Linked DNA regions of Ovis aries. The protein of the gene in region 6 interacts with the protein of the main gene of each other region in a pairwise test. Links are inferred from orthologs where the notes say so. Each region holds a gene or a part of one and is shown on either strand. Other genes may lie near its edges. The genes, in order: PSMD4, FUS, KNSTRN, PTMA, RANBP1 and NUPR1.

Evidence for each region.
Region 1: the proteins of NUPR1 (region 6) and PSMD4 interact in a two-hybrid assay, tested with the Homo sapiens proteins (2 studies listed by BioGRID and IntAct). The link is inferred for Ovis aries from reciprocal best matches to the Homo sapiens genes NUPR1 and PSMD4.
Region 2: the proteins of NUPR1 (region 6) and FUS interact in a two-hybrid assay, tested with the Homo sapiens proteins (2 studies listed by BioGRID and IntAct). The link is inferred for Ovis aries from reciprocal best matches to the Homo sapiens genes NUPR1 and FUS.
Region 3: the proteins of NUPR1 (region 6) and KNSTRN interact in a two-hybrid assay, tested with the Homo sapiens proteins (2 studies listed by BioGRID and IntAct). The link is inferred for Ovis aries from reciprocal best matches to the Homo sapiens genes NUPR1 and KNSTRN.
Region 4: the proteins of NUPR1 (region 6) and PTMA interact in binary tests that used the Homo sapiens proteins (3 or more experiments, as listed by UniProt). The link is inferred for Ovis aries from reciprocal best matches to the Homo sapiens genes NUPR1 and PTMA.
Region 5: the proteins of NUPR1 (region 6) and RANBP1 interact in a two-hybrid assay, tested with the Homo sapiens proteins (2 studies listed by BioGRID and IntAct). The link is inferred for Ovis aries from reciprocal best matches to the Homo sapiens genes NUPR1 and RANBP1.

What each region holds. Positions count from the first base shown.
Region 1 is NC_056054.1:101,141,682-101,147,464, forward strand, and holds the start of PSMD4 (26S proteasome non-ATPase regulatory subunit 4), read left to right. Parts: upstream 1-2,204; 5' UTR 2,205-2,219; coding exon 2,220-2,245; intron 2,246-5,783. UniProt on the Homo sapiens protein: Component of the 26S proteasome, a multiprotein complex involved in the ATP-dependent degradation of ubiquitinated proteins.
Region 2 is NC_056077.1:27,784,845-27,789,855, reverse strand, and holds part of FUS (RNA-binding protein FUS), read right to left. Parts: intron 4,352-5,011; coding exon 4,207-4,351; intron 4,036-4,206; coding exon 3,851-4,035; intron 3,649-3,850; coding exon 3,441-3,648; intron 1,808-3,440; coding exon 1,773-1,807; intron 257-1,772; coding exon 224-256; intron 1-223. UniProt on the Homo sapiens protein: DNA/RNA-binding protein that plays a role in various cellular processes such as transcription regulation, RNA splicing, RNA transport, DNA repair and damage response. Binds to ssRNA containing the consensus sequence 5'-AGGUAA-3'.
Region 3 is NC_056060.1:34,203,750-34,209,329, forward strand, and holds the start of KNSTRN (small kinetochore-associated protein), read left to right. Parts: upstream 1-2,378; 5' UTR 2,379-2,379; coding exon 2,380-2,612; intron 2,613-2,775; coding exon 2,776-2,870; intron 2,871-5,580. UniProt on the Homo sapiens protein: Essential component of the mitotic spindle required for faithful chromosome segregation and progression into anaphase.
Region 4 is NC_056055.1:233,411,330-233,415,427, forward strand, and holds the end of PTMA (prothymosin alpha), read left to right. Parts: intron 1-831; coding exon 832-903; intron 904-1,171; coding exon 1,172-1,268; intron 1,269-1,785; coding exon 1,786-1,859; intron 1,860-2,105; coding exon 2,106-2,153; 3' UTR 2,154-2,861; downstream 2,862-4,098.
Region 5 is NC_056070.1:73,024,377-73,028,429, forward strand, and holds the end of RANBP1 (ran-specific GTPase-activating protein), read left to right. Parts: intron 1-547; coding exon 548-705; intron 706-1,861; coding exon 1,862-1,990; intron 1,991-2,288; coding exon 2,289-2,354; intron 2,355-2,392; exon of another isoform or gene 2,393-2,514; intron 2,515-2,652; coding exon 2,653-2,768; 3' UTR 2,769-3,066; downstream 3,067-4,053. UniProt on the Homo sapiens protein: Plays a role in RAN-dependent nucleocytoplasmic transport. Alleviates the TNPO1-dependent inhibition of RAN GTPase activity and mediates the dissociation of RAN from proteins involved in transport into the nucleus.
Region 6 is NC_056077.1:26,594,294-26,598,849, reverse strand, and holds NUPR1 (nuclear protein 1), read left to right. Parts: upstream 1-2,123; 5' UTR 2,124-2,189; coding exon 2,190-2,301; intron 2,302-2,713; coding exon 2,714-2,850; 3' UTR 2,851-2,863; intron 2,864-3,192; 3' UTR 3,193-3,490; downstream 3,491-4,556. UniProt on the Homo sapiens protein: Transcription regulator that converts stress signals into a program of gene expression that empowers cells with resistance to the stress induced by a change in their microenvironment.

The DNA.
Region 1 (5,783 bases), on a different chromosome or scaffold from region 6:
TTGAACTTTTCACTAATGATTTTTCTATGCTTTATTTTTCTTCCTTTTCCTGTCTATGATTATAGTAACAGATTTTTTTTTCCTTAGAAATACAAAGATTTTACTCCTATACCTTTAATGGTCATCAATAACTTTTGAACATATCCATTAAAATTTTATCAATATCTATGTAATGTCTACAACACACTTCAGTTCAGTTCAGTTCAGTCGCTCAGTCGTGTCCGACTCTTTGCGACCCCATGAATCGCAGCACGCCAGGGCTCCCTGTCCATCACCAACTCCCGGAGTTCACTCAGACTCACGTCCATCGAGTCCGTGATGCCATCCAGCCATCTCATCCTCTGTCGTCTCCTTCTCCTCCTGCCCCCAATCCCTCCCAGCATTAGAGTCTTTTCCAATGAGTCAACTCTGCGCATGAGGTGGCCAAAGTATTGGAGCTTCAGCTTTAGCATCATTCCTTCTAAAGAAATCCCAGGGTTGATCTCCTTCAGAATGGACTGGTTGGATCTCCTTGCAGTCCAAGAGACTCTCAAGAGTCTTCTCCAACACCACAGTTCAAAAGCATCAATTCTTCGGCACTCAGCCTTCTTCACAGTCCAACTCTCACATCCATACATGACCACTGGAAAAACCATAGCCTTGACTAGATGGACCTTAGTCGGCAAAGTAATGTCTCTGCTTTTGAATATACTATCTAGGTTGGTCATAACTTTTCTTCCAAGGAGTAAGCATCTTTTAATTTCATGGCTGCAGTCACCATCTGCAGTGATTTTGGAGCCCAACACACTTGGCATCTCCATCTACCATCTCTGTAGTCATGTCTGGGTCCTCTGCTCCTTCCCCCACTTCCTCCAAAATAGACACCTGGAATTTCCAGTTTTTCTTTGGAGTGTATGTGTAAGTAAGCCAAGGCATTTATTTATTTATAGCCAGGCCAAGGCATGCAGGATCTTAGTTCCCTGACCAAGGAACAAACTGGTGCTCTCTGCAGTGGAAGTGCAGAGTCCTAACCATTGAACTGTCAGGGAATTTCCAGCCAAGGCATTTTTAATTAAAATAATTTTATTTTTATTTTTTGGCCATACCATGACAGATGTGGGATCTTAGTTACCCCACCAGGGTATGAGCCCACAGCCCCTCCACTGAAAGTGCAGAGTCTTAATCACTGTACCACTAGAGAAATCCCTAAGACATTTTAAAATGTAATTCTTCTTTTGAGGGATGCTGCACTGGGTCTTAGTTGTGGCATGTAGGATCTATTTCCCTGACCAGGGATTGAACCTGGGGCCCCCTGCACTAGGAGCACAGTCTTAGCCACTAGACTGCCAGGGAAGTCACTAAAATGTGATTTGATTAAAAAGCGAAAGTGATTGACTAGGTTGTCTCCCATTCTTTGGGAGATTAGTTAAAATTATTGATTCATCAAACTTTTTTCTGCCTTCCTACCATATGTCAGGCTTTGTAGTGGACTTAGGGATAGCAGAGATTGACACTTCTCTTGCCCTTAATGGGGACTTCCCTGATGGCTCAGACGGTGAAGAACCTGCCTGCAGTGCAGGAGATCGGTCCGATCCCTGGATTGGGGAAGATCCCCTGCAGAAGGAAATTGCCACCCACTCCAGAATTCTTGCCTGGAGAATTCCACGGACAGAGAAGCCTGGCGGGCTACAATCCATGGAGTCGCAAAGAGGGGGACACGACTGAGCGACTAACACTTTCACTTTCTTTTGCCCTTAATGAAATGAGAAAGACAGATACACAAACAAATGCAGTTCAGAGGTATAAGTGCTTAGTAGTTTGATGAACAAAGTGCCATGGGGAACCGGGGGAGCTGGAAAGTCAGTAGTCAGTAGTCATCCCACCAGTTTTTAAAAACGATGATGCTGGAATAGACATAGCTTCAGCACTTTCAGAAGTTCCTTCACGTTTTTTCTTAGCTCTTCTCTGCAAGGAACGCCACCAGAAAACCTGAATGGCAGGGCAGGTGGAGGTGTGGCCCTCTTTTTTGTGTTACTTGGCCCCTCCCTCCGCCCCAAACAGCTCCCACTTTTTTTTTTCTTTCTGGCGGCGCCTACAACTCCCAGAAAGCAACACGGGGATGAAGGCGGAACCAGCTGGCCCAACCGAGGTCAGTGATTGGTGATGCGCGCCGGGCCAATTGGAGGAGCTGTTGTTTAGTGGTCTAGGAGAACCGGTCGGGGAGGGAGGAAGGAGGCACGATGGTGTTGGAAAGCACTATGGTTTGGTGAGGAGCCACCTCGGGCCCCCTTGGGCAGCGGGACTGGGTCGGGGGCGCCTGTAGCTCGGAGGCCAGGCGGTCCTGGGGTGGGCGAGGGGGCCTGGTGGAAGAGATGAGGCCTTGGGCCGGGAGGAAAGGAGCTCCAGCGACTCCCTGAGTCATCCCGGGGCCCCAGAGGTAGTTCCCGACGGACGGGCCCGAGGTACCCCCCTTAACCCTCAGTCCGCGGACAGTCATTGACCGGTCCTGCTATTTTTCTCCATTACAGCGTCGTCTTCTCTAGACCAGCCTACATCTGTCTTTAGCTAGAGTCCTGCTTCTCGGACTCACCGTGCTAGTCTTCTGCCTTCCTCTCCTTTTCACAATGATGGGTGTTAGGAAGAGAGTTTCAGCTCCCTTCCTTGCCCCACTCACTTGTCGCTAACTCCTTTGCTTTTCCTGGTGTTACCGTCAAAGGCACTACAAGAGTACTTTTTAAGTGTTTGTGGCTTAGTCGTTAAGTCGTGTCGGACTCTTGGCGATTCCATGGACTGTAGCCCGCTGGGCTCCTCTGTCCCTGGGATTTTCCAGGCAAGAATCCTGGAGTGGTTTGCCATTTCCTTCTCCAGAGGATCTTCCCGACCCTGGGAACGAATGCGGATTTCCTGTACTGCAGGCAGATTCTTTACTAAGCTACCTTCTAAATGTTAGGCATTTAATTTGCTTCATCTCACTTAAGCCTCACAATACTCCCTCCCTTTTACAGATGAGGATACCGCGTCTCGGCAGTTTTAAATGACTTACACAGAATCACACAGCAGGTTAAGTGGTGGAGCCTAGGTTTAAACTCAGGATTATCTGACTCAAAGACGCTTCGGCACTTATCCAGTGAGCTCTCATCAGTCTGACTTGGCTAGCTGTTAAAACTGAGGACCACACTTTTGCAAGGTTTCAAGAGTTTCTTCTAAGTGTGAGCCTGGAATGAAAACAGAATAATACACAAACACACACAAATCCCCAGTTGCATGGAACAGACACCTAAGGGTTTTCTTTTTGCTGGGTAGATACTGTTGCCAGATAGCACATAGGATGCCCAGTAAAATTTAAATTTCAGATAAACAATTATTTTTAATATCACAATGGCCATGTGTATGTCCCACATATTGGATGGGACATACTTTCACTAGAAAGTTACTGTTGTTTGTCTGAAATTCAGATTTAACTGGGAGTCCTGTATTTTCTGTTCTTTATTTGTTTTTGGCTGTGCCGGGTCTTCACTGCTTTTGCCTGGGCTTTCTATAGTTGCTGGGACCTGGGGCTACTGTTTGTTGTGGTGAGGGTTTGCAGGGTTCTGGTTGCTGTGGAACACAGGCTCTAGGCGCCGGAGCTTCAGTAGTTGTGGCACACAGGCTCAGTAGTTGCAGCTCACTTGGGCTTAGCTGCTGTGTAGCATGTGGGATCTTCCCAGACCAGGGATCGAACCCATGTTCTCTGCATTGGCAGGCGAACTCTTTACTACTGTGTCACCAGGGAATTCTGGGAGCCCTGTATTTTCATTTGCTAAATATGGCAGCCTCTGGACGAAAGCAAGTTAAGAGTAGAAAGAGGACAGGATTTGGAATCCAAAATCCTGTGTTTGGGGTACTTTCCAGCCGCATGTTCTTGAGAATGTAGTAAATCTCTCACTTTAGCTATAAAATGCGAATATAATAGTAACATCTACTCTTCTCATAGCAAGGGTAGGCAGTGTGTGTCGTGGTGCTCTGTAAACTGCAGCACTCTGCATCTGTTAGTTGCCATGATGCTTAAGAAGTCCTCAGGAAAGAATTTAAGAGGGTCCTTGAAGGGACTTAGACAAATGTTAAGGAGAGGCCATTACATGTAAGGAGAAGGGCATAAGGAAAGCTGCTGAAGTGTACATTCTCAAGGCTTGTTTAGGGAGTAGAAAATGGACTAGTGTGGCTTCATTATTAGGTTGTTGGTTGAAGGTGGTTCCCTTTTTTGGAGAAAGGGGCATGCAGCCAGGTAGAAGAGCACAGATGTCGGGTTGAGGAGGCTGAATTCTGCCCTTTACCCTTCAATGGAGGACTACTGAAAACGTTCTGAGGCTGGTGGAGCCAGAGCTATATACAAAATGGGATTTAAGAATGCTGATCTGGCTTGGGGTATGGGAGGAAAGGTTAGGTCCAGAGTGATGCACTGGCACCCTGTTGTAACAGCCCAGCCATAGAAGAGCAGTGAAAGCCACTTCTTTGCTCATGCTTTGCTGGCCCTCAGAAAGTTGTGTATATTTGATTCTGCTTGGTCTGGTGGCTCAGACTCCCAGCCAGGGAAGCTTAGGCATCTGTATTTTTTTTTTTTTTTAATGAAAATTTTATGGAATAGCTGGATAATTTTGTCAGCCCTTATTTTGATATAAAATTTTATTGGGAAAAATTACTGTTGAGTGAAAGTAGTCACAGGAAATGCATGTATTATCCTGTCTGTATAAAGTTCAATGTTGGGAAAAGCAAACTGCATTTTTTAGGGGTGCACACATAGGTGTGCAAGCATCTGTGTTTTTACCAGTGCCAGCACCGTCACCCTCAAAGTGGTTCTGATACACTCGTGACAGCAGGAGGACCGCTCTCGTGTTCTGCACAGCAGGTTCTTCCTCCCTCTCAGCTGCCCCCCCCCCCCCCCCCCCACCTCCCAGGGCTTCCTCTGACATCTTTCTTCCAGCCTTCATCCATCTGCTGGTCTTGCCCACAGCCTTTGTACTTAGTAGCTATTGCAGCTGGATGATCCTCAAAGCTTCCATTGTTTCATATATTTAGCCACCACTGTATTTGAAGCTAGGAAGGCAGTTATTTCCCTGTTGGGAGAGTAGTTGGAAACAGTGTATCAGGGAAAAAAGCATATAGCTTGGTCAGTAAAGTCCGCCCTTGACCTCCTTTATATGGATTGAGTTTCGTCTATAAGAACTAGTCTGTGTGTCATGCTTACTGTTAGGCATTGTGCTAAGTACTTTCCATGAGTTTAATCCTCATAGCCAGCACTATCCAGGTAGGTATAATAAAACCCATTTTACAGATGAGGTAACTGGACATTAGAGAAATTCAGTAGCTTCCTTAGGATCATAGAACTAGTAAGTAGTAGAGTAGGGATTTGAACCTGCCTGAACGCTACCCTTGCAACCCTTTCTACTTGTCTTACAGTAGTTTCTTAATTACCTCTCCATCATTTTTGGTTTGTGTTTATTGCCTGGCGAAGGATACTAAAGAAAAAATCGCCTCCAAGCCTGTTTAGCTTGCCAGTAGAGATGAGCTGTCTCTCAGTATGCTGCTTGCTTTCAGTGTTTTGACAGAACTCAGTTCGTCAAGAATTCATTCTCTTCTGGGGTGTAGATAACTTTCTCACTTCCCTGTCTTCTTTTGGTCTCCAGGAACCTGGCACTTGTATTCCATGTTATTTGGATTCTTACAGATTGTGAAAAATATAGGGATAGAATACGTGAGACCCCCAGATCTATGAAACCTCATTTTTGCAGTTCAGTCCGGCTGTCAAAGCTGTTGAACATTTAACC
Region 2 (5,011 bases), about 1.2 Mb from region 6:
CCAGGGAAGCCCTATACAAACATCATCAAAACAACACATACACTAAGTGCGTCCCTGTGTCTTTCTTGTTAAATACACTATTCAACACAGCTACTCCTAACTAAACGCTCTTCCCCGCTCTTCTCTAGCCCCGCTCTTCTTCAGATTCCCTTAAGTTTGAACAACATCCAAGGAAAGTCCTGCTACCACTTTTGCCTTTCTTTCCTGCCACCTGCGGACTTACCAGAGTCATGACGTGATCCTTGGTCCCGAGGGCCTTAAATGACATAGAAGAAAAAACAAAAACAAAAAAACAAAAAAACAAGGAAAGAGGAGCCGTTAGTTAAGAGGCTGAGAAAGACAAGCAAAATAATTAACACCAAATCCAAACTTTTGCAAAATATCAGGTAAGTGCTCACAGCCAGCCTCACTCCAAACCCTGTTCTGGGTCGCCTGCCCAGAGAAAACCCTAGGCAGGTCTGGGAAAGACACAGGCCCCTTTTCTTAAGGTCTGCATGTAACTTGAGTCCCCACAGGGACAACTCCACACTTCAGAAAATGCTGCCTCCCCCAGCTCAGGCTGGGAAATGTCCTCAGCACAGACTGGGAGGGCCAGGAGGGAGACCCATTGAAGTTAACAAACCAACTCATAGCTTGGCCCTCTTCTCTCGCCCCAGAGAGAAATGGGCTCACCACCAGCAATGTGATATGCATTCATACAGTTTCTCCAAACTTTAGCACCAAAGACACTTATCCCTTGTAGAACAATTTTTAATGTCATCTTTCGAAACCAGTCTTAAAACCATGTTGTTTCCCCAAAAACCACATGAAAATAAAAACCATACAAAATAGCTATTGTATGTTTTAAGCATGTCCCAGGGAACAGACCAGAAATCTTATTTCCATAATGCAGCCTCTATTTTTTTTTTTCCAGAGACCATCTTCGCCCAAAGTTTATCTGAATTCACCATATATAAATGTTGTACCCACACTCAATGACACACCTAAATCATGAACCCAAGCCTTTGGCTTTACATGTTGAGACAAATCAAGAAACCCTTTGTTAGTTAACCAGACCAGAAAAGTTCCAGCTTACTGGGAGACTTCTCCAATTTGCCATTTTTCCATGAATTCAGTTTGTGCTGTTATTAAGACCTGATTATTTCCCATGAGCCACACATGCTCCCAACCTTTCTTGGAAGCAGTTCACACCTTCCTGCCCAGAGCTAGTTGCTATTTAGCCCATCTGAGTTGAGTTTAAATACGTGTATGTAGGATTGCATTGACACCATTCAGTATTTAATACATAAATATATACCAACGTCACCATCCTCAGGGCAGGGCAATACTTCATCCCTCGTCCAGAATTAAAATGTTTGGAGGTTGTCACACACACACACACACACACACACACACAAGCCTCGGACACACTGATCAAAGGATCGATCCTAAAGCCAAGTTGGCACCACATGCTCCAGCACACTCTCCAGTTTCTCGCAACGGTGGTCACTAACTGCCGGGTGTGGCGACACTCGTCAAGAGGCCTCCTAAACACCGCTTATTAACCTGGGTCAAACCAATTTGGTACCAGACGACTGCTGAGTCTTACTCCCTGCCTGCCTCCAGGTTAGCACACATCTGGCAGCAGGTGGCATTCCACCCCACCCCTTTCTGGAGGTGGATATGGACACTCCAAAACTTTTGACACTTAAAACACGCTAAGACAACTGCAAATGAACAATCAGACAAAGCATTGCTGGGAGTTGGGAATTTTGGAAACTCTGTTCACTTACCACCAAATTTATTGAAGCCACCACGGTCACTTCCGCTGGAGAAGACAAGTTAGAAGAAAGGACATGAAGCTTCCAACGGCTACAAAAGGGCGGTTTTTGGTTTTGTTCAACATTCCCCAAACATAGGTAGGTGTTTTGGGAAAATGATAATGCAAGTGGCTACTAAAATACATTCCCCTTCCTGACCAACCCTTGTCTGACCTGTGAGCATGTCACACACACGTGTGCAATTTCTCAGACACAATTGTTAAGGATTTTGCTTAAAAGGTTATATATCTATTTCCTCTAGGAAAAAAAAAAAAATGACCCATTTTCCTTGGCCGTTCTTCCGACGTAGCAGATGTTTTTCCTCTTGTCGCAAGCAGTTGCCAACCCAGTAGTTGGTTTAAAAAACCCTACCCCCAGTTTACCCAGAAGACACTTCACACCAGGCTGGGGTAGCCCTGAACACATTTTTGTGATTTTTTTTTTTTTTTTGCTTTGAAAGCAGCAAGCAGACCCAACCCCTTTCCATAAAAAGTCAAAACCAAAGGCAATTTCCCCTTAAAGCGAGACAAAACTTAGCTAAGCCCTTCCCTAACTACTGAGCTGGTTTTGATCTCTCCCCACCCCCGGGGTCACCCCTTCTACACTGCGAGAAGAGCGGAGTATTTTGCAATGTCACCTTTCATACCTGTGGCACATAAAATGCAGAGCAAGTTAACAGTCACATAACAGTTGCTTTTCTTTTTTTAAAGTTTTGCATTATAAACACACGCACACAAGAGTTTTCCTTATTTCTGTAAGGTTTATGGCACTGCCCCCACCCCCCCTCTGAATACTTACCATACACAAACTCTTTTTTAAAAACTTACTTTTTCCCCAAAAGGAGTAACACACTGACATTCCTCCCCTTCTCAAGAGAGACAGAGAAGGGTGCCTCCAATCGTTATTTACCAACAGACTTGACAAATGTTCTAACATCAAATCTAAGGTTTTACTTCAGCTTCAGCAGGAAGGGGAGGAAAGACGGTCCAGCTGGACAAGTAACCGGAGGAAGGGGGACAGTGGAGCAAGTGGGTGGGAGACCACTGTCGAGTGTACTGTACTTTGTCCAAAAGGTCTGCACACTTCAGAGAGCCCCATGAACCAAGTCACACACAAAATCATTACAGTCCGTCAGATTAGTACAAGTCAAGTTCGTGGATTCAAGTGACTAGAGAATACAGGAAGAGAAAGTAGCCAATTCCTGGAAGCTCAAGTCAGGTTAACCATTGACAGCTCCTTTAGCGGACACATGGGAATACAAGTAACAAGTTTCCCTGTCACCAGGAGTGGGATCATCGGTTTCCCTTGCAGAGAAAGAAGCCTTTACTTCCATGTTTCTTGCCTAGGATATCAATGACTCCAATCCACATACACCCCTACATTTCTTTTTCTTTAGAGATGAAAGTTGTCAGTACTCAAATCTCTGTACAGAAGTGTGGGTAGAAGTTCAGGCTCCCAAGTTCTCACAAAAATAAAACGGGGATGGATGTACGAAAAAGAAACAGTCAAGACCCCAACTCAAAGCCCTTACAAATTCCCAGATCAGACTAACCATGCACTACAGGACTAGGCGTCAAGGGAGACTCATGCAACCCTCCTCCCGTCCCACTGATGGTACTCCCTGGCTCACAAGACACCTACCCCATGCCGCCTCTGCCTCCACGGCCACCTCCACGACCTCTGGGTTCATAGCCACCACTGCTGCGGTTGTAACCACCGCCACCGCCCCGGCCACGGCCCCCACGGTCCTGCTGGCCTCCCCCGTAGCCACCACTCTGGTCCTGGTTGCCATAACCACCGCCGCCGCCGCCACCACCACTCATGGAGGGCTGATCTTGGCCATAGCTACCTGTCAGGAAAGAACAGCTTGCCTTTAAAAAGGACAAAACAGACTGGGGGGTGGCATGAAACAGTTCAAGAGTGCCAGGGAATAAACTTCAATAGAAATGCAGATAAAGCTGGGGTTTTTAAGAACCCTTTCAGGGTAACGGCCTAGAATACAATTTCTTGCGAAAAGCAGGGATGAGACAGAGCAGAAGGAAACCTCTCACCTCCGCCACCCCCTCCGCCGCCGCCACCACCACTGCTGTACTGGTTCTGCTGCCCGTAGCCCTGAGGCGGGTTATAGCTCTGCTGCTGCCCATAGCCTTGCTGCTGCCCACCATAGCCAGACTGCTGGCCATAGCCTCCACTCTGGGGCTGCCCATAGCCGCTGCTTTGAGAACTGCTACCGTAACTAGGGGAAGAGAAAAAGACAAGAGTCACAACGCCAGTGTGTCCAGGACTTCACTTCTGGTACATCCCATTCTCTGCCCCAACAGAGACCACCTCTCCTCCATTACCCCTGATAATTACTCCCACTGCTGAACCCCTAATCTTTTCAGTCCTCTCCACACCCACTCCTTACCTTCCTGAGGTGCTGCTAGGAGCTGGCTGCTGGCCATAGCCAGGGTACGAAGACTGTTGCCCGTAAGACGACTGAGAACTCTGGCTACTGCCATAGCCACCAGTTGAGCCATATCCCTGGGGAGCTGACTGCGTGCCGTAGCCTGCTACAAGGAAAGGAAAAGGGAAGTCACAGAAGCTATGAGGAAAGAGAACAGGCAGGGAATGCACTGAGAACAGCCCTGTATACCACTTAGTGCTTCCTGTACTTGGTAAGTCAACTTCTTAGAAAATGCTTGGCAATCTTGCAACTCATAGCTAAAGAGATTACCTTTTCTACCTGAAAGCTGTGTTTCAACTTCTACTCAAGTTTTAAGTTCTAACCTCATACCACACACCCCCAAAGCCAGCCTCCAGGACCACCACTAGTCATAGCCCAAGAGATCTCTTGTCACTAACAGCACTTTAACCTGCCCGCCCCTGGCAGAACAAATAAAGACAAGGCGTTTTATTTACACTCCAGGGACCTCAGGGCAAATTCCACTTCCTGGTGTATCCACGTGATGCCACCTGACTTCAAATGTCTTCAAGCAAGTCATTTTCCCTCTTTAAAAGCCTAAAGCATTTCTCCCTCTAGAGAATATTCCTCCCACCTTCATTTCACTTTCATGCTTAGGGGAAATTGGGAAAATAGCAGCATAAACAGAAAAGTAAAAAGTAACAGAAAATAAAAGGAAGCAGGATTACAAACCAATTAAGTCTTTTTGTTTCAAAGGACTCAAAACATCCAAGAGCTTTAAGGGTCAAAAACCGGTTAAGGGGAATGT
Region 3 (5,580 bases), on a different chromosome or scaffold from region 6:
AATCAGACCAGACCAGAAACAGAATTCGAGTTCTTTGCCAAGAGGAGGTGATCAGTCTCCAATCATCAGCTCAGGCTGAGGGCCCTTCAACCAGATTCCTGTGTCCAGGACCAGGGGACTAGAAAAACGGGGAAGGATAGGAAGGGTTAAGGAGAGGAAAAAGAGAGGGAAAGGGAGAGAGGTCAATAAAGTCTCTTGTTCCTTACGGGTCGGGGCACTCTGGCCAGTTGTCCGCGTCAGGAGGAGACCAGGGACAAAAGGGACCCAGTTGCAGCTGCTGGGTCTGCTCCATTGGCAGGCAAGCTGGCCCCTGAATACCCTGAGTGGTCAGGATGTCAGTCTCAGTGAAGAAGAGTCCCCGCCAGAGTTGCCATTTGTTGCAGGAAGGCAGACCCCTTCCACGGCCCGAAACTGGGCTCTTGTCTAACACTCGGAAATGAATTGTCCAAGGAGACACATCTGCTGACAAAGCAAGAGATTTTACTGGGAAAGGGCACCCGGGTGGAGAGCAGTAGGGTAAGGGTCCCCTGATCCCCACTTTGTTTCTGAGTCTTATTTTTCCTTATTCTTCTGCGGTACTGCTCCCTCAGGTCGGTTCGTTGTTGAGCTGGTCCTGACACCTGTCCATCACCAACTCCCAGAGTTTACTGAAACTCATGTCTATCAAGTCAGTGATGCCATTCAACCATCTCATCCTCTGTCATCCCCTTCTCCTCCGGCCTTCAATATTTCCCAGCATCAGGGTCTTTTCAAATGAGTCAGTTATTCGCCTCAGGTGGCCAAAGTATTGGAGTTTCCGCTTCAGCATCAGTCCTTCCAATAAATATTCAGGACTGATTTCCTTTAGGATGAACTGATTGGATCTCCTTGCAGTCCAAGGGGCTCTCAAGAGTCTCCAACACCACATTTCAAAAGCGCAATTCTTCGGCGCTCAGCTTTCTGAGACAGTCCCGTCACTTCATGGCAAATAGATGGGGAAACAATGGAAACAGTGACAGACTTTATTTTGGGGGGCTCCAAAATCACTGCATATGGTGACTGAAGCCATGAAATTAAAAGATGCTTGTTCCTTGGAAGAAAAGCTATGACCAACCTAGACAGCATATTAAAAAGCAGAGACATTACTTTGCCAACAAAGGTCCATCTAGCCAAGGCTATGGTTTTTCCAGTAGTCATGTATGGATGTCAGAGTTGGACTATAAAGAAAACTGAGCACCCAAGAATTGATGCTTTCAAACTATGGTGTTGGAGAAGACTCTTGAGAATCCCTTAGACAGCAAGGAGATCTAACCAGTCAATCTAAAGGAAATCAGTCTGAATATTCATTGGAAGGGCTGATGTTGAAGCCGAAAGTCCAATACTTTGGCCACCTGATGCAAAAGAACTGACTCATTTGAAAAGACCCTGATGCTGGGAAATATTGAAGGCCGGAGGAGAAGGGGACGACAGAGGATGAGATGGTTGGAGGGCATCACCGACTTGATGGACATGAGTTTGAGCAAGTTCCGGGAGTTGGTGATGGACAGGGAGGCCTGGTGTGCTGCAGTCCATGGGGTCACAAAGAGTCAGACATGAATGAGTGACTGAACTGAACTGAAGAAAAGCCCATTCTCATGATTATGGATTCCTCATCAGGTTAACTCCTATTCCCCCTTTTAGTCAAACATCACTTAAGATATCTTCCCTGACTCTGCAATTTAAACTAGGTTTCCCTGCTTTTCTCTCATAGCATGTTGTACTCTCCCCTAATAGTTTTACTATAGTTGATAAATACATATTTTGGTTTTTTTTCCAGTTTAATTGAGATATAATTGACTGGTTTGTATGATTATTTGCTGGTCACTGGGTTGTAAACTCCAGGAGGGCACAGCCCAAGTGAGTCTTGATATTTGTTGTCCTCATCCCACCTGCCCATTGTCTGACACAAAGCAGGTGCTCAATGGATATTTGTTGAATTAAATGAATTATGCGCTAAATGTTAGAGAATTCTGCCCCGTTGGCTAGGAGTAGCTTTGAATCTCGGCTTAAATTCTGGATAAGTGTTTTAAAAGTTAGGACTGAGGATAGGTGTCTCAGGTATTTCAGCTCACAAGCCCTCTCCAAATCTCACCTGCCACTCTCCACCGTGTAGTTTTTTTTCTTACCAATCCCTCTCTGCTCCTGGCTTTCTGGCATCATGCACCATCCCTAACAATCACAGACCAAATAAAGAGAAGGATTGTGACAAGGACCCTACACGTGACTGCGTTTCCGTCCCAAGGCCGGCATATGACACCAGTGGCTCATAGCTCCATTAAAGACTGCAAAGTGCATCACTTCTCTTCCCCCGCCCAGACCTGGGGACTCCTATACCCAGCGCCAGGAAGCCTAAACTGCGGCATGGACTCAGATCTTCCGTACAGCATGGCAGCCGCCGAAGGCGTCGCCCACGCCAGTGACTGCCGTACAACATGGCCTCCTACAGAGAGCGCCCCACACCCCCTTCCGCCCGGTCGCCGGAAGTTTCCCTTTGAAACCCTGGCGGCAGACGCGGTCCGTGGTACGGCAGTTACTGCGGAGCATCTTTTGAACCAGAGCGACGAGGCGTGTGGGCAGGAGCAGCAGGCACCTGGGTTCGGCTCTCCTGGGGCAGGAAACTGTGCTGGATGTGGGAAGTCGATGGGATGGGCTGGGAATGGAGGATTTTCGCTCTCCTGAGTCGCGCTCTCCTGGGGCCTCCGCCTGCTTGGTCTCCTTGGCCCAGCCCTGGGTAACCATTCACCTTGTAACTTCTAGGCCCCAGCCGTGCCGCCTCGTTACGATGACCAGCGTGATTAAGACAGTGTACACCCTGCAGCCCACCTGTGTGCTGAGCAGCGGCCTGCCGGCAGGTGGGTGTCCATGGGGCCCTTACCCCCTGGCACTGCGAACCGGCCCTGGGGTGGTCGGGCCAGGAGTCTGGAGGCGTCAAATCTGTTGTTGGGGGTGGGTGGCACCGGCAAGGAAGGGCATTCTACCGGCTTTGACAGCTTGCTAACTTCCCTAGAACCGGGCTGTCTAGTTTATAATAGGAGTTGGGGGAAGGGCGGTAAGGTAGAAATTTGGACTTGCCCCACCCGCCTGCTTCTTCAACCCGAACTCTGCTGCATTCACCAATTAGACTCAAGTTGCTGACTATTCTACAATATTATTTGCAGTAAGCTAGGGATCCCTTTTATACGTATCTGTTTTATTTCCAGACTTGGGGTGTCCTGAGGGACTGGGTTTGTTGTCAGGGAGGAGAGAAGAGAGTCATTTAAAAAGCAGGATAGTTAGGGAGAAGCACTAGGGTTCACACCGTGTCTGGTTCCCATTTGTAACTGCACAGTGTCCTTTATATAGTACATTCTCAGCAAACATTTGTTGAGTAAAGTGAGAGAGAGAGGGATCAGGCCTAACTAATGCTCCAGAACTTTGGGAGAAGAGGCATGATTAAAAGCAATGTTTGATTGCTTTGCCATTTTGCTTTGTGTGACTCAGCTTGGAGTTGAAATTATCTCCTAAATTCTGCAACTGTCAGCTGCCTAATCTAGAGATTATAGCAGGGAATTGGTTTCAAACGTGAGAACTGGGTGGCGGTGGAAGGTTTTGAAGCAGCTATTTAAGATTCTTTCCGAGGTGACTCCATGCAACTGATTGATGAGGCTAGTAGGATTGACCTATGAAGTAAATAGGCTTTTCTCCAAAGGCCTTACAGGATTATGTTTGTCTTATATTGCTTCAGGACACCCGAATGGCAATCCTGTCATCAGCAGGGCTTAGGAGTTGATGGAGGAACTGGAGTCAGTCGTACACTGCCTTTCTCTTAGAAAGCGGCATCTTTAGTTCAGTGGGGAGTGACTGGCATCTCCCCACCCAAACTGGAAGTTTTCATCTCTTTGCTTCTTTCCCAGTCACAGCTTTACAATCATATGTAACCCCAATATTTAAAAATTTTTAGGCTGCCTCCCAGGTTTTTTGATGTTAGGCAAGGGTTGGTTGGTTTTTAGTTTTTTTAACAGATAACATATACACATGTTTAAAAAAAAATTCCAAAGTTTGGAAACGATATACAGTGAAAAATTAGTCTTTCCATCCTTGGCACTAGCCATCCAGTTCCCTACTTAGCATCTCTCATTTTAAGAAGATAGTCTTTGTTAAACCCTGCTAAATTTTTCCTACAATACCATCCTTAGGTTCTAACAAATATGGGTTATTGGAACCAATCCCAGTCAATGAAGAGTGTTAATTTTGATCCGTTTGCTGTTGATACCTTTTTGCATGAGATATTTCTTATCATGTATGACTTATTAATACCTGAGAGAGGAGAAGGTAAATTCATTCACCCAAGGTTACCTTTTCTGACAGATCTCAGAAAGAACCCTTTTAATACTTGCTTTGTGTGAAAATAGGATGTAAGTGCCCACTGAGTGTACCTATAAATGAAATAATTTGTTAGCCTGAGAAATCATATTTATTCCAAACTGTTGTGCAGCTAAAGTCATCAAAATAAATCTTTATCAAACACAAAGTTTCCTAATGCCTGCAATTCAGTACTTTGTATCTCATTTCTTCATCTTGATTTAATCATTGATTTCTTCAACTTAAGATAGGTCAAGGTTATTAAAACTATTTTTGGTTGCGCAGTCTTTCTATAGTTTTGGAGAGCAGGAGATTCTTACTGTGGTGGCTCTTCCTGTTGCGGAGCACAGGCTCTAGGTGGGCTCAGTGATTGTGGCACATAGGCTAGTTGCCTCGGGGCATATAAAATCTCAGAAACCAGAGTATGGGCCCAGGTTTTTAAAGGGGCCATTTTACAATGAACAAAATGAAAGTTGGTATAAAGTAGAAGAATCCTTTGCATGTATTAGATGGGGTAGGGTGAGTACTTAACTCCAGAACAAGTTACTTGGATTTGCTATGAAATGGAAGTGGTAGAAAGAGGTGTGTGGCGGAGGGCGGCATAAGGGCTAGGGGGCAGATGCTCTCTTCTAGGGAAGAAGAGTGTCATGTCAGGGCCATTTCTGTGGTTATCTGGCAACAGCCTACCAGGATCAGAACAGAATGCCAAATAAGGAACCGAATATGAAACTCTAAACTTAAAGATGGATAAACAAAAATGGATGATGGTAAAGGCCAGCATGGAAGAGGGAAGACGACGAAAGAAGCTACTTTAGAGATGGTCTTTGAAACTGACATGTTCCGTTTAGGCAGTAAGCAGGTTTTGAATTTTTGCTAATATGCCAGATACTCTCCTAGATGCTGAGGTACAAAGACATCTGCAAAGCAGGAGGCCCCAGCCTCCGGAATCTAATGCCTGATGATCTGAGGTGGAGCTGATGTAATAATCATAGAAATAGAGTGCATGATAAATGTAATTAATGTACTTGAAGCATTCTGAAACCATCCCCACCCCACCCCTGGTCTGAGGAAAAATTGTCTTCCAGGAAACTGGTCCCTGGTGCCAAAAAGTTTGGGGACCACTGTCTTAGAGAACTAGTTAGTGAGCCAGTCTGGTCAAAACAACTAAGCAACAGCTGAAGCTTGAAACAGCTTGCATGTAGCTTAGGGGAGCAGGCAAAG
Region 4 (4,098 bases), on a different chromosome or scaffold from region 6:
GGAGGCGCGGCCTGACGGACACCGAGCTGGCCCTCGGACGGGCGAGAGAGCCACGGAGGGACATTTTGGCGCTCCCAACTGCCAAATTTCAGGGACTGCGCGCCTGAGTGCAGCAAGGCCTCACTCGGGCCCAGGAGTGAGTCGCCTGAGCCGGTGCCCAAGTCCAGGGCTGTGGTCTGCCTCCTCCTGGGATGGCTGTGGCTTACGGAGGGATCGGTGGGATTCTGGTGCCTTCAAAGAAAGCCCTGCGCTTGCCAGATCGTGGGCTCCGAGCTCAAGCTCGGCTGCGGGGCCTCTGGCTGGAGAAGCGGCTTCCCCAGTTTTGCCAGTTCCCTCCCATTCCCTTCCCAGGCTAGTCCACCCACGGGAATCCTCCCGCAGTGTCAGGGCCCTCCCCCATTGCCTTATTTATTTATGGCACATACCTGCTGTCTTCCAAGAAGGATTTGTGAGAGGCGGAGCTCTCTAGTTGGAAACAACTCTGTGATGAGAGAGTGTGAGTGAAGTGTTCCCGGGCTCGTCTGCCCGGCCAGACAGGTTTCGGTCTGTGGTGCCACATGGCTTGTTTCCTAAGAAGCATGAGTAAAGGTGCGGTGGGAACCGCTGTCCTGGATCCGTTTTTAAAAATGTGTGTGTTTTTAAGAGTAGAGAAGTAGGATGAGATCCCGGCCACAGACACTCAGTATTCTTTGCTCTCTCCCACCTGCAACTTCGAGCTTGTTACTTGGGACATCAGGATTGTCACTGAATCCCTCCTACCTGTAGGTTCGGGCCCCTTTGCCAGCCCTAGGCTACTCAGAAGACTTACTGGTTCCCTTTTCCTTTTTGAAGGACTTAAAGGAGAAGAAGGAAGTTGTGGAGGAGGCGGAGAATGGGAGAGAGGCACCTGCCAATGGGAATGCTGTGAGTGTCTGTTGTGGTCATGACCCACCCCCCCACTCCCGGCAGCTCCTGGCCTGGAGTTCTTACTTAAGACTTTGGGCTTAATCAAGGGTCGGGCGGGGGGCTGAGGCCTTAGCCAGTTCTGTATTGGGATCTCTGGCTGGAACTTCAGGGGGCATCTCTCCGGGGGTCTGTTCTGTAGAAGCCCAGGGTAGGGTCTGGAAGAAGTGATGTTGGGGGCAGAGTGATGTTCTGTCCTCATCAACAAGCTGCTCTGCTTTCTGTCGAGGAGAATGAGGAAAATGGGGAGCAGGAGGCTGACAACGAGGTAGACGAAGAAGAGGAGGAAGGTGGGGAGGAAGAGGAGGAGGAGGAGGAAGGTGATGGTGAGTAGCTTTGTTCCTCTAGTACCTTCTGGTCTTCCTAGCAGATGGGGAGGGACTGGGGTCTTCCTGGGGGGTGGCAGGTCCAAGGCACCACCTCCAACTGGGCTTATAGCCACAAAGCCAGCATCTTTCTCACTTTAGGCTAGTGACTGTGGGGCTGTGCCCCTAGCACCACACTCAACGCCCACTGGAGAGTGCCCTCCATGCCCTGATCAGTTGGTTGGTGGGGCTTCTCTGGTTTCGCTTGGGTCTTACCTCTGATGATAAGCTGCCCGTGATGGGCAGTGTGGGTGCAGTGACTGCCCAGCTTGTCAGGCAGCAGAGATGGCTCAGCGGCACTCAACCCTGGTTACTCTGTTGCTGGAGATTGCCCAAGGAGCTGCAGTTTTCCTGTCATCGTGTCCACCCCCCCACCCTACCTGTTGCTGCCTGCCACTGAGTGGGAGAGTCCCAGGACCCACTGTGCCCGGTTAGTTGAGGAAGGCAGAGTGGTTTACTTGGGCTTTGTTCTCACCAGGTGAGGAAGAGGACGGAGATGAAGATGAGGAGGCTGAGGCAGCTACGGGCAAACGGGCAGCTGAAGATGACGAGGTGGGTCTGGTCTGGCTTGAGTTGGGCCAGAGGGCTGGGATCTGAGACACTAACACTGGAGGGCTTGATGGGGCTTAAAAGTGGTCATAAGGTGCGGGGTGTGGTCCTTCTCCTCTTGAGCTGGAGTGGGAACAGGGGCCTATGGGACCGCGCATGCCTGGTTTTAGTTTGGCCCTTAGGAGCTCAGCCAGTGGGTGGGTGGGCCCAGGGGATTGGAAGAGACCTTGACAATCCTTCCCTTCCCAGGATGACGATGTGGATACCAAGAAGCAGAAGACTGATGAGGATGACTAGACAGCAAAAAAGGAAAAGTTAAACTTAAAAAAAAAAAAAAAAAGGCCGCCGTGACCTATTCACCCTCCACTTCCCGTCTCAGAATCTAAACGTGGTCACCTTCGAGTAGAGAGTCCCGCCCGCCCGCCCCTGGCGGGCAGCGCCACCCACAGACGACAGCGCTCTCCACCACCCAACCAAAACCACAACGTGAATTTGCAACAGGGGAGGAAAAAGAAAGAACCAAAACTTCCAAGGCCCTGCTTTTTTTCTTAAAGTACTTTAAAAAGGAAAATTTGTTTGTATTTTTTATTTACATTTTATATTTTTGTACATATTGTTAGGGGTCAGCCATTTTTAATGATCTCGGATGACCAAACCAGCCTTCGGAGCGTTCTCTGTCCTACTCTGACTTTACTTGTGGTGTGACCATGTTCATTATAATCTCAAAGGAGAAAAAAAACCTTGTAAAAAAAGCAAAAACAACAACAAAAAAAAACAATCTTATTCCGAGCATTCCAGTAACTTTTTTTGTGTATGTACTTAGCTGTACTATAAGTAGTTGGTTTGTATGAGATGGTTAAAAAGGCCAAAGATAAAAGGTTTCTTTTTTTTCCTTTTTTTGTCTATGAAGTTGCTGTTTATTTTTTTGGCCTGTTTGATGTATGTGTGAAACAATGTTGTCCAACAATAAACCGGAATTTTATTTTGCTGAGTTGTTCTAACAAAGCTGTCTCAGGCCTGGTTTTTCTGTATTGGTTTCTTTAGGCTTTCTCCAGAGGGGCAGGGGCAAGAAGAGGGGAGGATCTTGAACCTGCTGTCCTTCCTGGGGACAGTGGGTTGGAGACCTCAGTTGGGAGAGGTGTGCCCCTTGGCACCAGGGTCTGGTGGGTGGCCATCCTGTAGTCAAGTACTGAGCTGCAACTGGCTAATGGGGACATGATGGAGCACTATAGAGCTATGGGCTGAAGGGGGAGCCACTTACCAGCTTCATCCCTTCCTAGGATTGTAGTGAGAGCATCTACACTGAAATTGTTTAACCCAGTTTCATTAGAAATCTGCCGACACCTCTATAGGCTGGGGGAACAAGCTACATGCGGGGCTGCCCTCTGGATCCAGGAGGTGGGGTAGGGGGTTGTCCAGGCCCAAGTGAAAACTCAGGGCCAAAGATCCCAGAGATGCCACCTCCCTGTGGGACAGCTGCTAGCTGTGCCCTTCACCTCAAAGGCCTCACTGGATTATCCTGGCCACTGAGTGGCTCCCCCTGGTGGTGACACGTGGCACCTTCTGGTCCCTTAGGACAGACATTCCAGGATACTAATGCAGCCTAGGTTTAGTCACTAAGAGCTAAGTCTAACCACTGGGACCCTGTAGATTGTAGCCTGCGAGGCTACTCTGTCCATGGAATTTCCCAGGTAAGAATACTGGAGTAGGTTGCCATTTTCTTGTCTAGGGGACCTTCTGGACCCAGGGACTGAACTTGGGTCTCCTGCATTGCAGGCAGATTCCTTACCAACCTTGCACTTATTCACAACTCCGATCTCCAGAAGAAACAAATACCTCGGTTGGGGGAGAGACACCCTGCCCCTTCAGCACAGTAAGGGGTGATATGTGAGCTGCTTGGAATTTTCAGACTGGTGAGGAGCTCTCTAAGAACCTTCTGGGGTCTACAGATGAGCTTCATATGTGTGGTGTGAGGGTCCACAGAGGAGCCTCGTGTGTGTGGTGTGGTGGGGTCCACAGCGGAGCCTCGTGTGTGGTGTGAGGGGTCCACAGAGGAGCCTCGTGTGTGTGGTGTGAGGGTCCACAGAGGAGCCTCGTGTGTGGTGTGAGGGGTCCACAGCTGAGCCTCGTGTGTTGTGTGGGGGATCCACAGAGGAGCCTCGTGTGTGTGGTGTGGCCTGTCCACGGCTGAGCCTCGTGTGTGGTGTGGCAGGGTCCACAGAGGAGCCTCCTGTGTGTGTGT
Region 5 (4,053 bases), on a different chromosome or scaffold from region 6:
CAGAAGGGATCACTCCTCCAAGACCGGGAGGCTGGAGACCAGTCCTGGGCGCCTCCCAGCCTCCCCAGGGAGGCCGGGCCAGCGGGAGGGGCCTCCTCGTGGGCCCACTGCTCCCTTGGTGGTTGCGTGTGGCGCAGAGAGCAGTCTCCGCAGGAAAGGGGCCGGCAGAGCTGGGATCGATGGCGAGGCAGACGGCCGAGCTGCTGTGGGTGGGAAGGCCGACTCGGCCCAGAACCTGTGGCCCGAGGGGAGGCCTGCAGCCTGTCTTCCCAGCGGAGGAAAGGCTCCTCGTCCCTTGCCCGCATCCGTGGCGCCAGGGAGCCCCCGCACTGTGACGGCCGCCTTGGCCGGCAGTGCAGTGCGCCCTCTGAAACGTCAGGCTTTCCTGTAAGACTTGGGGTTTGTTGGGCCTCCTCGCTTTTCTGGTGATGTCCTGACCTGCAGTTCTGGAGTAAAAGGCAGGGATGTCTGGCGAGGCCTCGGGTGTAGACCCGGCCTCGTCCCTCCTACGCCTGCCTAACGCCTTTCCCCACGGCTTTCCTCGCAGGCGGGCCAAGCTGTTCCGGTTTGCTTCAGAGAACGACCTTCCGGAGTGGAAGGAGAGGGGCACGGGGGACGTCAAGCTGCTGAAGCACAAGGAGAAGGGGACCATTCGCCTGCTCATGCGCAGGGACAAGACCCTCAAGATCTGCGCCAACCACTACAGTAGGCGGGGGCGAGGGGCGGGGACCCGCAAGTTCTGCACCAATCACTGCAGTGGGCGGGGCGAGGGGGCGCACAGGTGACCCGCAAGAACCAGAGGGCCCGGGAGGGTGCTGTGGCTGGGCGGGCAGGGACCGGCCTCCCGGTACCACGGTCCCATCGACTCTCTTGGGCCAGCTCCTGTGCCCACGCTCCGAGGTCCTCCCACCACGCCCCGCTCAGCCCACCCTGTCGCTTCTGGCCTGGTCCTTGTTCTCCAGCCCCGTTTGAGGTGTTTCCCAGAGGTTTTCCCTGACCTTGCTTCTCTCAGAGCCTGGCTGGTCACCGGGTTTCCGGCCTGGTGTGCAGGTGGGTGGGTGGTGGCAAGAGAGGGGCCTTGAGTGCCCAGGAGGCACGTGGGCTCAGCGGGGTTCTGGGCTGGGATGAGTAGTCTCGGTGCTGAGTGTGATGTGTTCCTGGGACTGGTCCTGGGAGATTTCTGTCAGGCACGTGGGACGAGTGTGGCCGTGGGGCACTCGTTTCTTGGGAAGCTGGCCTCCTTGAGTCCCTGCGTGGCCGGAGGGATGGGTGGCCATGCAGATTCCTGGGTGCGGCTTGATCTCCGTGACGTACAAGCTGGTCACGGGCCTTCGGTGTCCACTTCCAGTGGCCTCTTTCCCTGGGATGTGCTTGGGCAGTGTGAGGCCGAGAGTGGTGGGTCTCCTTCACCCCACTTGTGGCTTATGCGTCTTGGCTACAGCCCTGCCTGCTGTGGGCTGGGTCCTGATGTGTGGCCAGGTATGGACTCCGCCACGTGGTGGGCACCCTGTTCAGGAAGGCTGGGCCTGCCCAGCTGCGGCCCACATCTGCCCTGGGTCTGCTCGGACAGGGCCAGGGCCGGGGCGGCTGGTGGTGAATGGGTCTGGTGGCATTGGAGACCCCTGCTGAGGTGTCCTCGTGGTCGGGGAATGGCTGCCTTCTTCCCAGATTCAGGACAGTCCTGCTTTTAAGTGGGCACGGGGAGTTTGCAGGGGTTTGGGTAAGATCCAGACCCACAAGCCTTTGTCTGGGCCTGGCTTGGCGAACCCCCAACCAGGCTTTTGCTCCAGTCAGGGCTTTAGGGGTTGGGGTGGGGGCCGGCCTGGCAGCCGTGCGGTTCTCATGGGGCTTCTCCCTCCAGTCACGCCGATGATGGAGCTGAAGCCGAACGCAGGCAGCGACCGTGCCTGGGTCTGGAACACCCATGCTGACTTCGCTGATGAGTGCCCCAAGCAGGAGCTGCTGGCCATCCGCTTCCTCAATGCCGAGAGTAAGCAGGCCCGGGTGTGTGCGGGGCGGGGGGCCCTCCGGGGGGGCCTGCGCTCACAGGGCTGTGCCCCGCCGGTCCCCCAGGCCGCGGTGTCCTTCCGCTGGTGTTGTCAAGAGCAGCACCCCGTCGCTGGCCGTCTGGTGCCGAGGAGGCCTCGCCTCTCTCTGTGGGGTCTGCTCCAGTGCAGTGCCTGGCAGGATGGGCTGCCCAGATGGGAGTGGGGTGTCTGTGGGACCCTCCGGGACCGCGTCCTCCTTGCTGCTCAGGGCTCTTTGGGGCGCCGTCTCTCTCTTTGCAGACGCACAGAAATTCAAGACAAAGTTTGAAGAGTGCCGGAAAGAGATTGAAGAGAAAGAAAAAAAAGGTGCCGGGGGGCGGGGCGGGGCGGAGGGGGGGTGCTCTGCAGACTCACTCTGCACCCAGCCGCAGCCCCCGGCGGGTGCTTTTTCCGTCTGCCACAGGAACTTGCGGGGGCTGTGACCTCTGCCCTGTGAAGGGCAGCACAGCTACCCCGGTACACGGGTGCTTTCTGGGGGTGGGGCCGCCGGGGCTTGGGGAGGTGCTTGTGCCGCCGCTGGAGTCCCGGGCACACGCTCACCTGGAGATGCTGGGGCACGGCCGGCTGCTGCGCCTCCCTCTGACCGCGCCCCCGTGTCCCCCAGGGTCTGGCAAGAATGACAGCGCCGAGAAGGTGGCGGAGAAGCTCGAGGCGCTATCGGTGCAGGAGGGCGAGCAGCCCCAGGACGTGGCCCCGGCGCCCGCCGAGGAGGAGCAGTGAGGCTGAGGCGCCCCGGGCAGCTTGCCCCTGTCTCCCCCGTTTCTTTTTTAATTTTGCCCTGCGCCGCCTTTTCGGTTTGTTTTTATTCTGTTTTGTTTTTACAAGGGACTTTATATAAAGAACTGACTTCCAACATCCAGGTTGTTTTTTTTTTTTCCAAGTTTTTGCCCTCATGAAGACAACTTCAGAAAATCCATTCCCTGGTCACGAGAATGTACCGTGCTAACTTTCTTTTCCATAGTGGAAACACTTATTTATAGTCATCAAAATAGCGAATAAACAACACGTTTGAAACCTGCATGGAGGCAGGACGTGTGTGCGCCGCCCCCTCGCTCTGCCCCGGCCTTGGCGTGAGGACGCCCACCAGGAGTCCTCAGTGCCCCCCGGGCTTTGACCAGGCATCTTTGGGTGGCCCTCTGCCCTGGCGGAGCTGCCTGTTGCACCTGGAGCCGGGCGCAGCCCTGTGACCGTCCTCAGAGAAGACTGTCCTGCGCGGCTCCGGGCCCTCTTGTCTGGGTGGAGGGGGGGCGTCCTTGGGGGGCGAGTCCGGTGAGGCCCTGTGTCTTCTGCAGACCACTGCCTCCGAGGGAGTCCTGTGGGGGTGGGGGTTTGGGGAACACGACAGGACCTGGCCAGAGAATGCCTGTGCTTGGCCTGTAGAGGGTGAGGTGGGGAAGGGAAGTGGCTGCTGCGTCCATGTCGGCCCCTGGTCTGTAGGTCAGGCCTGCTCCCTGCTGCCCTTGGGAGGTGACCCCTGGGCCACAGCTCCCTGGGACCCTCTGCCCACGCCCTGCACCCACCCTCTACAGACCCAGACACCCTGAGGGGCAGGGCTAGGACCGCAGTGTGTCCGCAGGACCTCGGGCCACCGGAGGCAGAGGCAGCTGGGTAGAGCCAGGAGGTGTCCGCTTCCTGCCTGCCTGTGGCCTGGGGGCTGCTCCCCGCCAGGCAGAGGCTGTGGCCAGGGGTGGTAGGAGGACACCCACACAATCTCTTCTGTCTGTCAGCTGCCTGGGGCCCTGGGGCCAGGCGGGGTCTCCCAGCCTGAGGGGCTCAGGCACACGGCTGCACAGGGTTCTGGCCACAGAGCAGCAGACAACCCCCATGGATTCCTGCCGGGGTCCAGCCCCGCTCTCTGGGGAGTTTCCCACCTGGGGAGGGGCTGAAGGTCTTGGCTTCAGAGCAGGGGCCCCGGGCTGGCCCGACCTCACTGTAGTCAGCTCCACCTTAAGTGGCAGCCGCGGGGTCCGGAGGTGGGGTTTCCTGCAGGGGGTGAGCCTGCCCA
Region 6 (4,556 bases):
GCACCCAACTCTCTGTGACCGCATGGACTCCTCTGGGCTCCTCCGTCCGTGGGATTCTCCAGGCAAGAATACTAGAGAGTTGCCATTTCCTTCTCCCATGTTTAAGTTACGGTTAAATTCCTCTTTCTCTTATCATCTGCTCTGTTATTATGATCCCCGGGAAACCAGAAGCTAAATCTAATTCTGGCTCAGGCCAGGGAGAAATGCAAGCAAGAGTGTCCCTTCTTGTTCAACAGAGAATGATACTGGGTTATTATAAGGCTCGGGGGAAGACGGAAGTTTTGGTAATATTGAAATGGAACAGTATTTCAGTCGGCTCACAGCAAAGTGGGAATGTGAGCAGGGAATTAACACCTAAAACCTATCCTGGACTGAGACCACGGAGCTAAAAAAAAAAAAAAAAGGAAAAATGGAATGTTGCAGTCTGCTTCCTTCACTGTCGGAAGTGCTCAAGCCTCAGCTAAAGCAACTCAGGGTGTGGCCGGTCTGGGTCAACAGACCCACAGGGTCAGGCCCTTCAGGCAAGAGTGGAAATTTCCACTTTCCCCTGTTTCTTATCCAATCCCCTTCCTTTAATTCATATTAAATTAGCACAAACATCTGTTTACTTCACAATGGTCTCTACCTCAGTATATCCATGGTTTGAAATATGTATTATTTTGTTTATTTTTTAATAAAGGTTTTGTTCTTTTTTTAATTTTTGGCCATGCTGAGTCTCTGTTGCTGTGCAGGCTACTCTCTAGTTGCGGTGCCCGGGCTTCTCATGGTGGTGGCTTCTCTTGTTGCAGAACACGGGCTCTAGGGCACAGGCTTAGTAGTTACAGCGATCGGGCTTAGCTGCTCCTTGGCATGTGGAATCTTCCCGAATCAGGGATGGAACCTGTGTCTCCTGCATTGGCAGGTGGACTCTTTACCACTGAGCCACCAGGGAAGCCCCCTGTATAACTTTATTTTAAATTGATTTCCTTTTATGTCTCTCTTACATTTCAAGGAGAGCAATGCAGTTTACACTGTAGCAAGTACTTTGCCATCGATTATCTCATTTGATCTTCTTCCCAACTCTAGGTGGTGCTAGTCCTAAAGAACCCACCTCCCAATGCAGGAGATATGGGTTCCATCCCTGGGTCGGGAAGATCCCCTGGAGGAGGGCATGGCAACTCACTCCAGTACTCTTGACTGGAGAATCCCCTGGACAGAGGAGCCTGGTGGTCTACAGTCCATGGGGTTGCAAAGAGTCAGACACGACTGAAGCAACTTGGCACAAATGCCAGCTCTATGAGGTAGATACAGTTACGATTACCCTCCGTTTACAGAGGAGAAAACGGAGGCTCAGCGAGGTAAATTGACTTGTCCAGGGTCATACAGGAAGTAGTGGATCAAGGGTTTAAATCCAAGACATCTGGCTCCAGAATTGGCTTAACCATTCTGCTAGTCTCCCTCTCAGGAGAGGGAGATTACCTAGGGACCCCCAGTTCAGGATGTTAAGGGGGGTTTCCAGGATATTTTTTTTTTCAGGATATTTTTTATATTTAAAGAAAAAAAAAAGGGTTGGGTGTGATCAGTGTGAGGATCAGTGACATAACACATGGTGGGTTGTACCCTCTCCTGGATCCTTCTTCACTCCATGTTCTGCCACCAGGGTCCTGAATCTGAGCCAGAAGTGGGTGGGGTGGGGCTCAGCTGTGTGGCCATGACCCCCAGCCCAGGAGGGGTATGTGGCAGAGGGCAGAGGGCATGAGATGGATAAGGAAGCAATCAGCCAGGTGAGGCCCTCAGTTCCCTTCGGGCCTTGACCACAAGCACTGTTTATGCCCAAACCCTGTCTCTTACCTCCTCCCCCGTGAGGGGCGGGGATCTCCTCCGTGGAAAACTACCCAGCTGGGCCAGCCCCAGTGAGAAAGAAGGCGAAGGAAGGGGGCTGGGACTCACGGGACCAGCTCTTCTCCACCACCCCCCAACCCCCCCCCCCCCCCCGCTCTCTCTCTCTCTCGTGACTGATGCTTACTGGGCTGGGTTCTGGGAAAAGGCCAGATTGCATCAGACCGGGCCTGAAGGGCCGGAGCCAGGCTGTGGGCTGAGGAGGAGACGTGGCTTTATAAGTTGAGGCCAGTGAACTGGGAGGTGTCAGCAAACCAGACACAAACAAAGCTTTAGAAGACGGGAGAGGGAGAGACAGACAGAGAGACATTATGGCCACCTTCCCAACAGCAGCCAGCCCGTCCAGGCAGCCCCCAGGCCCAGAGGATGAAGATGTCATCCTAGACGAGTACGACCTCTACAGCCTGGCTCATTCTTACCCGGGTAAGTTCTGGCCCCGCCACCTTCTGGATCCTTCCGTTTCCAATGCCCACCTTCACAAGTGGACTGAACCCCACCTCCCCAAACTAGGATTCCTCCTTGGGCTCCTGCCCACTCACCACCTGTTTCTTTGACCCCTGGAGTCACCCCCTTCCCCGCAACCCCTCATCCAGTGAGTGTTGTCCTACTCAGCCTTGGGACCTCACATACTTCTAGAATTTTGGAGATCACGAGGGAGGGGGAAAGTCCCTCAATCCACAGATGCGGAAGCAGGGACAAAGACTGCCCTAAATCTATGCGGTGACGATCCCCGGCCTCCCGACTTTAACCCAAGCTCTTTCCACCCCTGCCCTCCGTACCCCCTGAGCCTCACACCTCTGCCCACCTCACCACGGACTCTCGCCTCGGTTCCCAGGAGTGGGAGGCCGGAAAGGTCGCAGCAAGAGAGAAGCTGCCATCAACACCAACCGCCACAGCCCTGGTGGGCACGAGAGGAAGCTGGTGACCAAGCTTCAGAACACGGAGCGGAAAAAGCGAGGGGCACGACCCTGAGACAGGACTGGAGGTAAGGAGTCAGGGGCCCCCAGCACCTGTACAGGTCCCTCAGCCTGGGCGGGACAGACCTCAATGTGCGAGGTTGGGCGGGGAGGAGGGAGCCAAGAATTGTTGTCCCAACATAGAATAAAATGAGACATATGTTTGAGTTGCCTAGCGACCAGAGCAAAGGGAGAAACAGACCCTTTGCAAGTGGAGCAACATTTGATTTACAGACAGGAAAACTGAGGCCCAGAGAGGGTAGGGTCTTTCTCTAGAGTCATGGAGCAAGTGAACAGGAGAGGCAGAACTCGAACCCCAGGCTTCAGGATTTTTCACCAGCTGCTTTCCTTCCCCCAGATGAGGCCAGAGGACGGACCCCCACAGCAATGGAAATAGGACCGAGGAGGAACCAGCCCTTGGGGGCGGGATCCAGGCCTGCTTGCCCCACCCCAACCCCAGGACTTAACCCCACCTGACTGAGACTCCGGGGGCGCCATGGAGGAAGCACCCCCGGCCCCAGAGAAAGGACAAGATGGGGAGCAAGAGGCAGAGCATAGACAGAGGCAGAGTCAAGAAGGTACCTCCCCCCAAAAAGAAAGAAGGAGCCGGAGCTCCCCAGGGTGACGGTGAAAAATAAACAAAGTGTAGCAGCTGCCGACTGTTTGTGCGTTGTGTGTTTTTGTTCTCTCTTTGTGTGGCTTTTTGGGTGCACACTTCTTGCCTGCAAGTGTCTGCGTTGGCGTGAACCAATGAGAGCATTTTGGTGAGTGTTTGTTTTGAGCTATGTGTCTGGGAGGGGTGTTTCTAATTTTGTATGGCGTAGAGGTGAGCTTTTTTTTTTTTTTCTTTTGGTATATATGTGTTTGGGTGCATTTGTTTCTGTGGTTTCTCGTGAGGTGTATGAGAATTTCCTCTGTTTCTTTGAGATGCTGCCCATGAAACAAGCCCCCTCCTCAGCTCCTCTCCATTTTTGGAACAACAAACTTGTTGTTTATGTCGTCTTTGTATCAAACCACCTCTTCAAGTGAATGTTATTTATTGCTGCCATCTGCAAAATGGCGAAAAGTGGGATTTAAAACATTTAGGGACTTGCCCCAAGTTACTTAGGGCTCAAATTCAAGGATTCTTATTGTCCTCAAGTGTGAGGTAGGTCCCTTTGCCAAGGGGGCCGCCAGGACAGTGTTCTGGAAAGTCAGGTGAGCAGGAAAATTCTTATCCAGTGTTATCAGTCTTAGAGCCAGACTTCCAGAAAAAATGTGGAGTAAGTAAGAGGCATGCTGGGAGCTGGTAGGGTATGTTGATTGAGAAAGAGACTCAGGTTGCTGTAATGAAGACTCAAACAAAGCAGAATAGAAAGTTCTCTCTGTATCGCATAGCAGTTCCAAGGATTGGTACTCTGGGGTTAAAATGGCAACTCCATCATGTCAGGGATTTCAGTTACTTCTGGCTCATTTTTCAGCCACTTTTCAAACATGGCTACCACTCTGCACTCCAACCTAGCTGCTCCAGTACCTGCCATTTCATCTGCATTCAGCTTATGTAAATAGAGTGGGAAAGGGACCAATAATAAGGAGGCCGCAATAATATATTTTTAAGGCCATAACCTAAAAGCAGAACACATTGCATCTGCTCAGAATTTAAACATATCACTACACCCAACTGCAGGAGAGGTTGGGACACGTAGTACATAACTACTTAGCCACGTGCTAGCCCAAACTGGG